2 linked regions of the Yarrowia lipolytica genome follow. The protein of the gene in region 2 interacts with the protein of the main gene of each other region in a biochemical or structural test. Links are inferred from orthologs where the notes say so. Each region holds a gene or a part of one and is shown on either strand. Other genes may lie near its edges.

The links.
Region 1: of the proteins of YALI1_B02550g (region 2) and YALI1_E27207g, one has a biochemical effect on the other in vitro, tested with the Saccharomyces cerevisiae proteins (2 studies listed by BioGRID). The link is inferred for Yarrowia lipolytica from reciprocal best matches to the Saccharomyces cerevisiae genes MDR1 and SEC4.

The regions. Positions count from the first base shown.
Region 1 is NC_090774.1:2,716,723-2,723,394, reverse strand, and holds YALI1_E27207g (uncharacterized protein), read right to left. Parts: upstream 2,709-6,672; coding exon 2,097-2,708; downstream 1-2,096. Other genes in the region: YALI1_E27229g (uncharacterized protein), read right to left, coding at 1-336, 404-457; YALI1_E27218g (uncharacterized protein), read right to left, coding at 951-1,538; YALI1_E27196g (uncharacterized protein), read left to right, coding at 3,730-4,647; YALI1_E27182g (uncharacterized protein), read left to right, coding at 5,175-6,323. UniProt on the Saccharomyces cerevisiae protein: Involved in exocytosis. Maybe by regulating the binding and fusion of secretory vesicles with the cell surface. The GTP-bound form of SEC4 may interact with an effector, thereby stimulating its activity and leading to exocytotic fusion.
Region 2 is NC_090771.1:252,046-260,537, forward strand, and holds YALI1_B02550g (uncharacterized protein), read left to right. Parts: upstream 1-3,016; coding exon 3,017-5,920; downstream 5,921-8,492. Other genes in the region: YALI1_B02533g (uncharacterized protein), read right to left, coding at 154-1,299; YALI1_B02604g (uncharacterized protein), read right to left, coding at 7,987-8,418.

The DNA of each region.
Region 1 (6,672 bases), on a different chromosome or scaffold from region 2:
AACCAGCTCCACAAACTTGCCGACATGCTTGGAAACCACCTGTTTGTCCTTTTCGCTCAGGTTGGCCTTGCTCACGTGAGAAGCATCGCTAGCAAGCACCACAATGCCTGTTTCGGGGTCCAGCTGGCGCTTGAAGTCGGAGGCACTTCGTTTTTGGGTGATGCCGTTCGGGGATTCGACCTGGGCCACCGCGCCGACGTCGATGAGATTCGAGCCGGTGCTCGTCACAATCTGATGCAGGTTAGACATGCGTTTCTGGCGGTCCGAAGGGTCCACTGCATTATCGTCTGTGGTGTCGATTGTGTTGTTTCCAAGAAGAGGTTCATTTTCGGAGATCTGGGTTAGTAATCTGCATAGAGAGAGTGTGTGGGGAAAAGATGCCGGCAATCAAATGAATACTCACACCAGGAGGGTCTTCCTCAACGGGCCCTCTTAAGCAAGACAGCAAGACACCCATTTGCTGTGTGTTGTTAGTAAGATGGTGATGGAGATATGAAAGTGTGGAGATGCATGTTTGAACTTAGATGAATATCATAACAAGAAAGGAGAGTAGTTACTGGGATGTAATGGATATGTCGGGAAGGTGATGAATATGAAATATACCATGAAATTACTGGAGAAATTGATTTTGATACTCATTTTTGTAATTTATTGCATATTTACCAACTTAAACACTTTTGTTAATAATTACTTAACCCCCCAAGTAATACATCAAAGCCCATGTACTCCCAACCCTAACCCCCAAACAAGGTTCTGGCCAACCAAACGAAGGGTAAAATCTCAAGCTCTGTAGTAATAGCGTCAAGATCACGGTTCAGCTCGGAGGCTCAGAACACAACCCCAAAAATGCGATACACACAGCTGCTGCGAAACGTCTCCAAGGGAGTCCAGAAGAGTGGCCAGAGCGTCCTCGTTCAGATGCGAGAGGGAAGTGAGTATCTATGTGGTTTTTAAACCTGACTGTGCACTACACAACTACGTCTGATGTCACCACGACAGGAGACGAATGTCTTGTCTATGCCACTAACAAAGCTCCTATCGGTCTGACCGGTATCTACCAGCATCCCAACCCCCGACCGGCACTGATTGCCCTGTACGAGGCCACCCTCAAGGAGCTGCAAGACAAGCACCCCAAGGACTCTGTCTACCGACAGTCCATCGAGAACCTGACTGCTCACCGAAAGCAGATTGTGGAGGACAACGAGGTCAGTGAGGTGATCGAGAACAAGATCGGAGCCGGTCTCATTGAGGAGGTGGTCATCCAGGCCCACGAGGAGCTCGAGCTCGCCAAGAAGATGAGCGAGTGGAAGCCCTGGGAGGAGCTGGAGGAGAAGCCTTTGGAGGACCAGTGGGTTTACTTCAACAAGAAGGGTGTTGAATAAGGGTATAGCATAAAGATGTGGATATTGACGATCATGAGCGTGGTTAATGACCCGTGAGCGAACCAATGGCTTGTGAATGGTCCAATGAGTGAGCCACCGCAGTCGGACAAGCCATTTGCTCGGTCTCATGGCCTCATGAGAACGTAGACAAGTCATTGTTGGACAATGGTTTACAAAATGTGGGCGTAGAAATAGAACGGCTCTTTGATTAGCTACTTGTAGTCTACAGTATTTATGGAGAATCTCGTCATGTACAGTATGTACATACTTGTACGATAGAAGTGACAGATGACAGAGGTATACTTTTTTGAAGTTGTTTATTACCGTGCTAGATGGCGCCGTAGAGCGGTGATATTGATTCAATGAGCAGTCTACAAGTGTACCAGTACGAGTACCAGCACAAGAACGGGCGGTTCCACCAGTTACTGTAGCTAGAAGTACCAGTACAAGTAGCTAGTTAAAGTGTATCGACACTTCTCCATTATGATACTAACATGTTGATTTATCTTTCACAGTACTGCCATAGAGAACACGGAATCGTTTGTATTTATCTAAAGATCTACAAGTAGGTCGATAGTCCTGAAGTGTGTCCTAACAAGAAAGCGAAACCAACCATTGTACTACTGGTAGATACTTACAACACTACATCACAGAGTCTGACTGGCATCTTACTATAATTCATGACGCAATTAATATACTATATACCCTCTTCAGTTAACAGCACTTGGAGGCGGAGTTTTCCTCGCCCTCGGCGATGTTGATGCCGCCCGACCCAGACTCGTTGCCCTTGGTCTTGGCCACAGTGTCCCTGATTCGAGTGGCAACCGAGTAGAAACACTCCTCGACGTTAATGTTGGTCTTGGATGAGGCCTCCAAGAAGGGAATGCCAAACTTATCTGCCAAGGCCTGGCCCTGTTCTGTGGAAACGACTCGCTTCTCATCGAGGTCGCACTTGTTGCCAACCAGAATGAGCTCGACGCCCTCGTTGGCGTAGCTCTGCACGTTCTGGTACCAGTTTTCAATGTTGTTGAAGGACTTTTCGTCCGTCACGTCGTACACCAGCAGAATGCCCATGGCGCCCCGGTAGTAGGCGGTGGTGATGGTTCGGAACCGCTCCTGGCCGGCCGTGTCCCACACTTGCAGCTTGACCCGCTGATTGCCAATGTCAATCGTTCGGATTTTGAAGTCGATACCAATGGTGGTGATGAAGGAGGGGGTGAACTGGTCCTCGCAGAACCGCAGCAGCAGACACGACTTGCCCACGCCGGAGTCGCCTATCAGCAGCAGCTTGATCAGCAGGTCGTATGTTCTCTGGGAGTGCGACATGGTATCTAGACAATCACGAAGGTGTGTTGTTGGTGTGTGTTCAAAAGATGATGGTGGACTTCTCTCGTGGTGCGCAGGGAGATAGTCCTGTGATTGTGAACTCTATTAGCAGGGGCTGGTGGCATGCTACCGGACATGACGGAGGGAGACGATAGTGGAGGAGCTAGCCGCCAAACTGATTAATAGACTTGATATATAGTTGACTCACCGCTGGAAATGCCCCATTCTCACCACCCGCGCCCCTCCGCCGACCCTCTACGCCCTCTATCGCCGCATCTACTCCTCTAGAACAACCTCCCTGTTAACACCGCACACTCAACTTGTCTTGTCCCAACTGGGCCACCATGCACACTTTTGCTACGTCACGGGTCGTCTCGGTGGCAAGATCCTAAGTTAGTGTGCTGCTCTTAGTTTTCGGTCTTAGTGGAATGAATACGGCTTGGGCAACGATATACGGACCAGGCTGACTCATTGTGCACCCCCCAGTGTACGTTACTAAGAGACCGCCCTCTTATATTACTAATATTATCACCCCTGCGTCATCCGCACGACCACTATACTGTCTGAACTAGGATACTTGCACACTGCTGTACGATACGGACTTACTGGAGATATCTCCATTGTCAGGTCATTGTCTGCTCGTAAAGTAATTATTCGGTCCGGAAATAAGTTGGCGTTAATAGAGTTAGTAAGCCAAAGTAACACAGATTATGACTTTGTTTAAAATTTTGTGATATCGCACGAAACTTGTACCTTGTATATTACGACTCCAACGATCTACAACCGCCGGCCTTCTCTGTATAGTAGCTACGAGTACTGTTTTCGTACTTGCATTCACTCGTAGTCAATAAACTTTGCACGTTGCGGGCAAAATCAAACCCCGATCTGCTTTGCCGCCTCATAACGCCACACTAGCCACTTCCGGGTAACACATTGAAACTCTATCGCATGCAGAGGAAAGCTCATAATTACAGGTGCAACTCATCATTGCCCTGATCTTCACGCATCTCAACACCATACAATGCTTCGAACATTGACCCGTTTACGACTGCAACCGCTGCAATCCGCAGCCATCGCCCGACCTCTTACACAGCCTCTTCTGCAGAAGCGATGGAACTCCACACAGCCTCCCAAGGATAACGAGCAACAAGCGGCTCCTGCTTCTTCGGAAGGAGACAAGCCCAAGCGAAAGCCTCTGTCCCGAATCTCCGTCTCCAAGGGTGCTTCTCCCGGAGAGATGCACCGACGACAATACAAGGGCATTTTCGACTTCAAGGTCTTTGCTCTGTTCGTGGCCTCTGGAGTGGGTATCTACTGGTTCTTCCAGAGCGAAAAGGCCAAGGTGACCCAGCGACGAGAGGCTGAGGCCAACCGAGGCTACGGCAAGCCCCTTGTGGGCGGCCCCTTTGTGCTTCAGGATCACAAGGGCGGTATTTTCAGCAGTGAGGACCTTAAGGGCAAGTTTTCGCTTCTGTACTTTGGATTCTCAATGTGTCCCGATATCTGTCCCGATGAGCTCGATAAGATGGCCATTATGATCGACGAGGTCAACAAGAGCAACCCCGGCCAGCTGCAGCCTCTGTTTATCACCTGTGATCCCGCCCGAGACTCTCCTGAGGTTCTAGAGGAGTACCTGTCCGAGTTCCATCCTCAGATTCTGGGTCTTACTGGTACCTATGACGAGATCAAGCAGACCTGCAAGGCCTACCGAGTCTACTTTTCCACTCCTCCTAACGTCAAGCCTGGTCAGGACTACCTCGTTGACCACTCCATCTTCTTTTACCTCATGGATCCCGAGGGACAGTTCCTGGACGTGCTGGGACGAAACCTGACTGCTGAGGAGGCCGTGGCCAAGATCCGAGAGGACATTAAGACCTGGGAGCCCAAGGCTGTCCGAGACCGAAAGAGCAAGGGCTGGTTTGGTTCCTTCTTTTACTAGACTAGTGTGTACATAGCTGAGCTAGCAGCAATATATTCTCCTGCAGCAAGAGATCATGAGCGAAATGATTTTCTTACTTGTAAGGTCGGTAGATAGGCAAATGGCCTCTGGTAATGCACATGACTTGCAAAGTGATTGGCAACGTCTCTAATGGACGAATGGCCCTGTCAGCTCTAATACTATCAAGGACTGGTACGCTTGTAGGTGACGAGGATGATAATTGATACTTCAATGAAGATAATGAGTGAACCTGATACAATGGTTATCATTGTGCTTCCCAGTATGCATATAGCAGAAATACTGTAGGTACAGTAGGGGTATGAGTGTACCTCTTACGAACGTATTTGTACGCTAGCTAGAACCCAACTTTTGCGCCCCGATAGCTTCCAGATCCCCAGAGAGCTCCAAGTACCGAATGCTGTACCTTCTATAGTTACGAAGTAGCTCTCAGGTCCGTCATTTAAGATGCTTCTTCAATATAAGGTGGTCCCTCACTTTGCTACAATACTTGTACTGTAGGCACACAAATGAGGAGAACAACAACAGTACAGATATTGTCACTGCTCCTATCTTCTTTCGCAACAGCATGGAGCTCACCTTCGCCTGGAGATATCATTTTGGGGATGGACCAAGTGTCCTTGTTTTCCGACGATCAAGACGACTCCCATCCTTTCTACAAGATCCTACCTCATGCCATGACAGCCGACATCTTTGCTTCGATTTCACAGGAGCTGTCTCAGGACTGTCGCACTCTGGATCTGGCCGGCCGCAAGGTCGACATTCCCGTCAACACGACCCTTCTGTTCGTCTTCAACAGCACCCAGTATCTTTCGACAGGGTGTGATGACGGAGATATGTCGCAGTTCATGCAGACCTCTGTGCCGTTTGGACTCCCTCAGTACCATGCTCTAGTCGACTACTTCCTCCTGGTACCTGCCAACTACACCAAACCGTTCGCCTTCTCTCCAGATCTCGTCATCAAAGAGATCAACGCTCGCAAGTGCAGACTCCCGCTGTTTTTGGACATGATAGGCACTTCAGACCCACTGCTGGCGCTAATATTCAAGTCTGTGCACAAACCAGCTCCAGAGACCTCTGAGCCTGTTTCGCCTCGTCACTCAGGAGCTGCTCAGCAGTGCAAACAGCGACTGAAAGAGGTGTGTAACAGTCCCGACACGTCTGGCATAGCCCGAGCTGCTCTGGTGCAATCAGCCCCCTTCTTTGACGAGTTTGCGCATCTGTGGGTCGGTGCTCTGGGGCTCGAAAGTCTGTACAGCTCCGTCTTCTGCCAAGTGAACGAGGTGGTCACCGAGCAAAGCTTTTGTCTACAGATCACGACTTCTGAGAGCAGAGTGAGTGTGATTGATCCTGTCACTCATGGCAGGCTGGGAAGTGGCGATGAGGTGAATCCCAATGGTCATGGTGTACGCATTGCGAAGAGAGATCAGTTGAAAGGCACCGTTCGAATTGCTACCAAGAGTCATGGCAAGTTGCACACTGTGCGCCAAAACAACATCATGGTGTCTCAGTGGAACGAGGAGCCGCAGACCGAGAAGAAGAACTCCACTCACGCCCTCCACTCGCATCTGGAGATATCTCCGTGGCAGCAGGATTCTGACACCGATGACAAGACCATTACCTGGTCAGCCGTATTTGACGGTCGGGTTCTCATGTGAGCCATGTGGATGACGCCATCCTGCATGCTGCACGCAGCACACGACTGATCGGCAGTGCCATAGTTGGGGGCGACAATGATAAGGGGTCCGTTCGCGATGGAGCAAGATAACCATAGGTGGTGTTAGGATCGCATTAGCGGCTGTCGTTAGTTGTGGAATGGAACATGTAACGTGAATGGATGTAGCTAACAGACACTGGCGCTTTGTAGCACTCGTACTGTCCAATTATGCCCGTCAACTGACGTCACTGTCCTGTCACCCATCTGTACTGTACGATACTCACATTCTACGCGCGCTGTAGTGTATCGTTGTTTGGCTCTTTTCTTGCTTGTCTCTTGCTTGTCACTTG
Region 2 (8,492 bases):
AAGACGAAGTACTAAAGAGCTCTAACATGTCACGGCAACCAACCCCCCGCATCTTAGTCATAAATAAATTACTATACAGGTTTTGTATCGTACACCTCGCCAGCAGATTCCTCAGGGGCGTAGCACAGCTCATTCCTTCCAATGTCTCCATCACTAATAAGCGCTGTTCGGAAACATCACTGCCTTCAAGTTGTTCAAAAACCCCTTGTCGTAGATGTTAACAATCGGTTTATGGTCCGTCAGCAAGGTCAAGGCGAGACCATTCTGGGCAACGTACTCCCGCTCCTCCGCTGTCAGAGATCTGTTCGGTCGTCCCTCCTCGTCTTTCTGCAACAAAATGCTTCGATCAAGCTTGAAACCCGGCTTCTGAAACATCCATACACTGCCCTCGGAAATGGCAGCATGGATATCGCCCCATTTATCCGTTTCATTGGTGGTGGCTCCAAGGTAAATATAGTAGAAATGCATCGCTGTGAAGGCACAGGCTAGAGCACCGGTAGACACCGACAGCAGAAAGATAATCCCCACCCGTTTGTTCTCATTGGTGATCATGACCTGCCACCATTGCGAAAAGATACTTGGCAGCGGTTTGGGATGGTCCTTGTACTCCGCGGCCACCATGACAATCATTTTGAGGCCTGCCAGAAGAGCTCCCCAACACAGGGTCCAGACATTGCCCAGCAGGAAGAAGAGGAACCATCTGTAGTTGTACAGACCCACCGTGTTGTTGATCCAGAGACAATAGTGGTCGAACTTGGCAACGCACTTGTTGGTGAACCGGTCGTGCTTGGATCTTGCAGGCTTGGTGAACTTGCACGTGCTACATTCTGTGTCTTCCAGGAACATGAGGTTGTCAAACCTGAACTGGTTGAGCAGCAGGGCGTGGTTTTGTTTGGTGATTTTGCCGGGGTCCGAGAAGGTGGCAAGTACAAAAGATACAACCAGAATCGTGTAGGCCACAGGCGCCAGCCACGCGTAATACCAGTGATTTTCTGCGATGAACGGATGCAAATCTTCATAGTAGGCAGAGAACATGTAGGTCGTGAAGGCGCAGTAGAGAATGGGCACGGACCATGGAGCTGCGGGAGCAACCACAGAGCCGCAGAAGTCGCCCACTACCGAGAGACGGCCCCCACAGTACTTTGAGTCCCACGATCTGATGGCTGCCGGACGGTTGCTGAGCCATTTTCGGAACTTCCAGACCGCAGTGTCCTCGAATTGAGGCAACGCGCCGAACAAGAACACAAACGTGAACACGGAGATGGCCAGGATCGAGAGTAGGTAGATTTTGAGCCACATTGTGCAATGTTGGGTGTTGCAATGTGCTGGTGGTGAATGTCGAGATGCGTCAGATCTGTTCACTATGCAGAGTCATGTGACCGAACTTGGTTGTTTAAACAAAACAAAAGATGTGCATTTTACTTGGATAAAATATACGGAATATGCGGGATATACAGAGGTTGTTCAAGGCAGAAGAAATGACGATAATTGTATCATATTGTACCAAAAATGCATGCTTGAAATGCTCATGGGTGGCCATATCTCCTTCCGAAGACAGGCGTGTCCTTCAGCTCGCTATGGAGGTGATTTGGACACTTTCGTCTAGAATAACAATAATAATCATGATAATAAAAGTCTCTCCAGCACCTCGTCTTAACTGCTACTTGTAGTAGGTATTATTTTATGTCGTATCGAAGTGACAACACGACCGATTGGCCACCCAAAAGTACGTCACGGGACAACGCCGCTCTAGTTATCTTTGCAGCCATCGAGGGAGAAAGTAAATGCCACCTTGTGGTCAACATTCTAATGGGCTTAAAATGGCCTAATTTTTTTTCTTTCCCGAGTTGAGCAAGTTCATCTGTAGATCTATGCTGTTGGTGATGTCACACTGTACTGTAGTTAGTAATAACAATAATGTCAGCGGTGCTGGGTGACTCCTTCAACACTCGAGATGACTCGCAGGAAGAAAGAGACTCATTGCAAACAACCCGACCAGTCCCACACGGTCGATTTTCCTCTATTTTACTCTTTTTCCCGGAGAATTTCTTTTCCCATGATTCAACTTCGAGCTATTTCCTTTTTTTCTTTTTTTTTCCTTCTTTCCCCTTTTTTCCCTCTTTTCCCTTTTTTTCCTTTTTTCCTTCCTTTTTTTCTTTCTTTCTTTTCTAATGATCCGTTTTTAATTCTAAAGATCACCATTTTGGGACGTCCCAGCTCGTGCACCTTTAGCCCCGATCAGGACCTTAGACCACTACAATAAGCCCATACGTGTCCTTAGCGGGTCAGGAGTTCGATCCTCGACCGGAGTGGTTTGGTTTCTCACCAATTCGCGTCATTTCGGCGCTCTTGGCATGTCACAGCCGGTTATATATAGCTCAGCCAAGATTCACCCTGACAGCCCGAGGCAGCCATTCCGGAGAGAGATAGGAAAAAAGAGAGATAGAGAGAGAGCAAGTTGAGTACAGTGCGAGTGCAAGTAGCTACCGGCACGGCCTGAAGGAAAAAGGCTACATCAAAACCGTGTCCTTTACGAGATCCACAGCTACAAGTTCTGCCACACTCTGATTTCATCCCATTACTCCGAAAGCTGTATCTCTCTGACATAATTTTTTAATTTTTATTTTTAATTTTTATTTTTTAAATATTTTATTTCTACAATGTACAGTACTGTAGTTAGTTTTCTCCGTACTGTACTGTACTTGCCCTTGATGTGGTATATCCAATAAAACAGCACTTGATACAGCCTGAGAGCTACAAAAAAGCTGTCAAGACTATCATATCCATCCTGGACCATTCTAGACCTGTCCAGACGTCCCCAGACCACTTCACGTGACCGCTATCCTCCTCTCCACGTGACCTCCCACTCTCAATGTGTCCCGGTATATGTTATCCCCTCTGCGCTATTACATGCACCATCTGCATACTCCCAATCACCACTATCGTGCAGGACTCCACTCGGTGAACACCACACAACTGCAACTACACCTTTTGAGCTACTCGTGCCAGTGGAGCCATGTCGTTTCTCACCTCGCTCAAAAACAAGGCGCTGGAGCTGTTTGAGCCGGAAACCTCGTCCGGCGTCATCCAGACCGCCGCCGATACAGCGCAATTTTCCGACTACAAACGCCGACTCAACAAGGACGAAAAGTTCCGGCTTCAATTTAGTCTGCCGGACTCGCAGAAGCTGCTGGCGGATATCAGCGTCGAGGTTGCGCTTCAGAACGCAGAAAACCCGCCCGTCAACCCGGGCCAGGCGGCCCGCTCGGAATCTCTCATTGAGTTCTCCAACGTCATCTACCAGGGCAAGCTGTACCTGTCGGACTCGTTTTTGTGCTTCACAGCCACCGACGCGCGTCAATGCTCGTTTGCGCTGCCCCTGCTGACGGTCAAACGGGTCGAGCGACTCCCGCTCAAGTCGTACCTCTTTGCGCTGTCCATCAAGACATACAACGGCCTGACGCTCGTCATCCAGTTCATCGGCATCAAGTCCGCCTGCGACCGCTTTTCGCTCGCCCTCAAGGCCCAATTGGGCAAGAACCTTGCCAAGATCAAGTCTCTCAAGCCCTTCCTCGCCACCCTGTACTCGGAGTACTTGTTGAACGTAATTTCTTCCGGCCAAAAGGGCGACGCTCCCCCTCCACCACTGGGAGGTCTCGGACAGGTGTTCCGATACCCCGGAGACGCCAAAAAGCTGCGGGATAAGTCCAAGATGCGCCTGTGGCTCGAGTACTTCCAGACGCATGGACGCAACCTGACTTTGGTGAGACAACAGACCTTCTACAAACTCATCCGAGTGGGTCTGCCCAACCGACTGAGAGGCGAAATTTGGGAACTCACGTCGGGGTCGTTGTACCTGCGTCTCGCCCACCAGAGCATGTACAACGACCTGCTTGAGGAGTACGAAGGAAAAACTTCTCAGGCCACAGAAGAGATTGAAAAGGATCTCAATCGATCTCTGCCGGAGTACTCAGCTTACCAAGACGAGGAGGGTATCGCCAGACTGAGACGCGTCCTCACAGTGTACTCCTGGAAGAACCCCGATGTTGGATACTGTCAGGCCATGAACATTGTCATTGCCGCCTTTCTAATCTACATGTCTGAAGAGCAGGCCTTTTGGTGTCTGAATGTCCTCTGCGACAAAATGCTCCCCGGATACTACTCAAAGAGCATGTACGGCACGTTGCTTGATCAGAAGGTGTTTGAGTCTCTGGTCGAGAAGACTATGCCTCTTCTGTGGGACCATCTTCAGCGATGCGACGTGCAACTGTCGGTCGTCTCTCTGCCGTGGTTCCTTTCAATTTTCATCAATTCCATGCCTCTGGTGTTTGCCTTCAGAATCATTGATGTATTCTTCCTTGAGGGACCCAAGCTTTTGTTCCAGGTGGCTCTGGCTATTCTTCGAATCAACGGAGAGCGGCTTCTTGAAGCTGATGACGATGGACTTATGATTGGAATCATCAAGGAATACTTTTTGACACTTGATCAGTCAGCTCACCCAACTTCAAAAAACGAGAAGCTCAGATCAATCACAAAGTTCCAAGAGTTGATGGTTGTCGCTATGAAGGAGTTCTCTGTCATCACTGAGCCTCTGATCACCGAGCAGCGGGCCAAGTATCAGGACCGGGTGCTGGAAGACATTGAAATCTTTGCCAAACGAACTTCCATCCGAAACCTTCACAAGACCAAGAACTTGTCTCAGGATGATCTGTCAGTCCTCTACGACAGATACCACACTTACCGAGAAATGAATCTGGAAAACTACCAGAACTTCCTCTCGTCGGTGGTCTGTTGGACAGAACCTCAGGAACTTTCTATTGACGGTACACCCGACTTTTTGCGGCGTCTATACACCCGCTGGGACGCCGATATGAAGGGCACTTTGTCTCTTCAGAATGTTGTCACTGGAATTGACGCTCTGAAGCAGTCCGATCTCATGGGTCTGATGACGTACTTCTTTGAGCTGTACGACGACGATGGAGACGGCCAGATCGATAGAGAGGGTATTCTGAGCATGTCCGAGGGTTTGCTGTTCCTGACAAAGGCCTGGAGAGAAGGTACAGTGTACACTGATGGAGCTCCCATTCTTGATCAGATATCGCTTGTGGAACTTGACCGAAGAGAGCAGGAACGCCAGGAACTCCTGCAGCAGGAGGAGATTCGTCTGGCCGAGGAGATGGAAGCTCTCCGTCTCGAGGCTGAGCAGCAGAAGCTGGCTGAAGAGAACACTTCAGAAGCTATTTTTGACACTCCTGACACCGATGAGGACGATGCCAAGAGCACCAAGAGTTCCAAGAGTGCCAAGAGCGTGTCTTCTCGATCGATCAAATCAACTATCGGCTCAATTGGAGCCGCTGGAGGTGCTGTGAGCGGAGCTGCAATTGGAGCTGTTCGAGGAGCTGTCAGACGAAAGTCGTTTAAGGATATTGGCGATCCTATGCAGGAACGGCAAAAGGTGGCTCATGAGCAGAACGTGCGGTATTTGTCTGCCGTTTCTGCCTTCATTCAGCGTGCTTTTGAATATGCCAACGAGGCCAAAAAGGAGGCCGACAAGGAGGCTGCTGGGGACAAGGGTAAGGATTCTGAGGACTCTGTAGAGGCTCACAATGCAGCTCTTGACCCTAGCAAACCCCTGTTCATCGATCTGCCCACTTTCCGAATGGTGGTTCTGGCCGATGAGACGCTCGAGACGCTGTTTGCCGTGTCTCTTCCTCAGAGTGTCATTCTGCGACAGTCTGATGCCGATAGACACAAGCGAGCGTCTCTGCGAGACGTGTTTGACGGTTTGGTGGCGGATGGAATGCGCGTTGCAGGCGAGGTGCGAAAGAGAATCGACATTGATAAGAGTGTCAATGACTCGGAGGATATTGGAGAGGTGGTGAGTGGTAAGGATCGGGATGTGTTGGATGAGGCAATCTAGAGAGATATTGAGGTTGATGGCGTCATGAAATGAGCGGAGCGAGCCGCGAGACTCAGACAGAGACTTCTCAGTGGACACGTGAGCGGTTAGCGGTCCACGACCACTCTCCAAATGTAGAGATGATTAATGTTAATGTTTATGATATGACAAGATGGTATATGTACAACTGTAGAGTGACCCAGATCACGTGTGTTTGTGGACAGTCACGTGATCATCCTCCCCCACAGTGCGTGACAGCCATCTGGTGAAGTTCAGAAGAGACGATTGAGCTTCAGATTGTTGGTGTGTAGAATGGTTGAATGATAACGTACGGAATGGTGTGACCAATAGTTACCCCTTTCGCGAGCCAGCCATTGATTGGTCTCTCTTAATGACTCTTGCCATGTCCCACTGCTGTCTAAACCATGTCAGTTGAGATATTAGTTAGACTTTGTTAAGAAGGAAAGAGAGCTGTGGGACCATATCTACGACTACAGACATCGTGAAGCTATAAAATGTAGCCCATATGGTAGTATATAAGTCCTTTGATAAGTGTTTCCGAGTTGTAAAGTTTTTCACCGTGAATTATTTGTCTATCTGAGATTCAATTTTTATTTCATAACCAGTATTGTTGACATTTAGTTGATTTACTTTCACCAGTTACATAGACCCAACCACACAGTCCAGAACTTGGAATAGTGTACCGAAAGACTTGGGAAGAGATCAATTCTAAGAAACTACAAAAGAAGGATATTATATATCAGTCAATGTGATAGAATCTAGTCTATTGATGTTCTCCTAGCCACGTTGAGTCGTCTCTGGTTGTATCACCATAAGAAGACCTTCAACTCGCACAATACTGTTCCGATAACAACTAAACGGAAATGGACTAACTGAATCAAACTGAAGATAAAAATACACAGAAATAACCGCCACGATCGAACTAGGTCACGTGACTTTCGGGGAAACAACAACTTGATGATGATATGCCTCTACTCAGGTGCATAGATAAGGCCTGATCATGCAGGACAGTTTTCTTCGTCAACTTTTGTATCTTCATGACTACGTCAAAGACTCAATTGTGGCAGGTAAAAGAGCGGTGAATGATGGAACAAGAATTCTGAGACGTGATTGAAGGGCCAATTGAACAGGGTACTCGAACCTAGGGTCTCAGCTCATGTGCTACAAGTTCCTGTTGCGGCTGTGACTATCAAAGGCCGCCTTTCATTTCCCACATGGAGTTTGGTCATTATTTTTTCATGTTTTTGTCATGGTTTTGTCACGAATATACAGTAAATCTTTCCACTCTTGACGTTTTTCCACAGCTCTCGTTCATAGCCGATCTCGTTGTAGTCAATCAGACGGGCCATGTTGCCGGCACCATTCTGCTGACTTATGGGCCTGCTCCTACTGTAGTGTCATGAACAGCTGGTCCTATCAGTCAGCATGGTAGTGGCAAGGAGTCACGTGATAACCGATTCCGCAAGAAGGCAATATGAATCAAACCTCGTCAGATGGTTGGAAGTCGTAGAATTATCTAAGGGCACCTATCTATGGATCATTACGAGGGCTCCCAAGGCTTAACTAATATTACAACTAAATATCGTTAAATCCAAGTAGTTCAACAAAATGTAGACCGTTGCAGAATTTGGTTACTACTTCAATAAGGGATGGAAATGTTCCGAAACTTGATCAGATGATTTTCAAGACTGAAATGGACTCCGATAAGGAATGAATGTATAAAAATCCACTGTAAATACGGTACAGTACGAGTACGACGAGTACATGCTCTCTTTGCTGTGCATGTATGATCCGAGAAACGGGTCCCGAAAACATGGAATACGACTGCGAATCGACAGTTCAAATCTCTTTTTTACAATTCTCTTTATAACACAATTTATCTCTCCTATATTAGCTAAGATCTTAGGGTCAAGGTAGCTCCAGAAGTAGCAATGCAGCGATAGCATCGACACTCGGTGGTTAATCATTCGCCGTTAGTTATCCAGCTAGCTCTTCATACCTGCTATTCGTATCTGTTAGCCATCGTACTACAAGTAGCTGGCACTTCGCACTAGGGTTTAGCACTGCTAACACTGCCCCACCTCTGTCTCATACTGGCTCCACTCCTTCCAGGATCCCAGATAAATCCCCCGGTTTTCATATCCACATTGCTCTCCCTGTTTTTCAGCCATTCGGGCCCGCACTCCGCTCTGGCAGTAGAAGACCACGTGCATGTTCTTACTGGGCTTGGGGAACCCCATGGCCGTTTCAAACTCCTCGGGGGACTTGCACAGGGCGAACGACTGCGTTTTCAAAGGCATGTTGAAAGCGCCCGGAATGAACCCCGCGGCGTACTCGCTGGGTTCCCGCACGTCGATGAGAATGGTATCCGCCGGGGCCGATCCGTCGACCAGCGACTCAGACAGCTTCTTCACGTCAAAGTAGGAGTACTCTTTGGCGGAAGAGGCGACACCCAAGGTTACGCACACAAACGTGCTGAACAGGGTGGATAGTTTCATGGCGATAGTGACGTTAGTAATTGTTGCGGTGTTGGAGACGATTAGCGGAGGACTAGGCGATCCGCGGTGTTTAT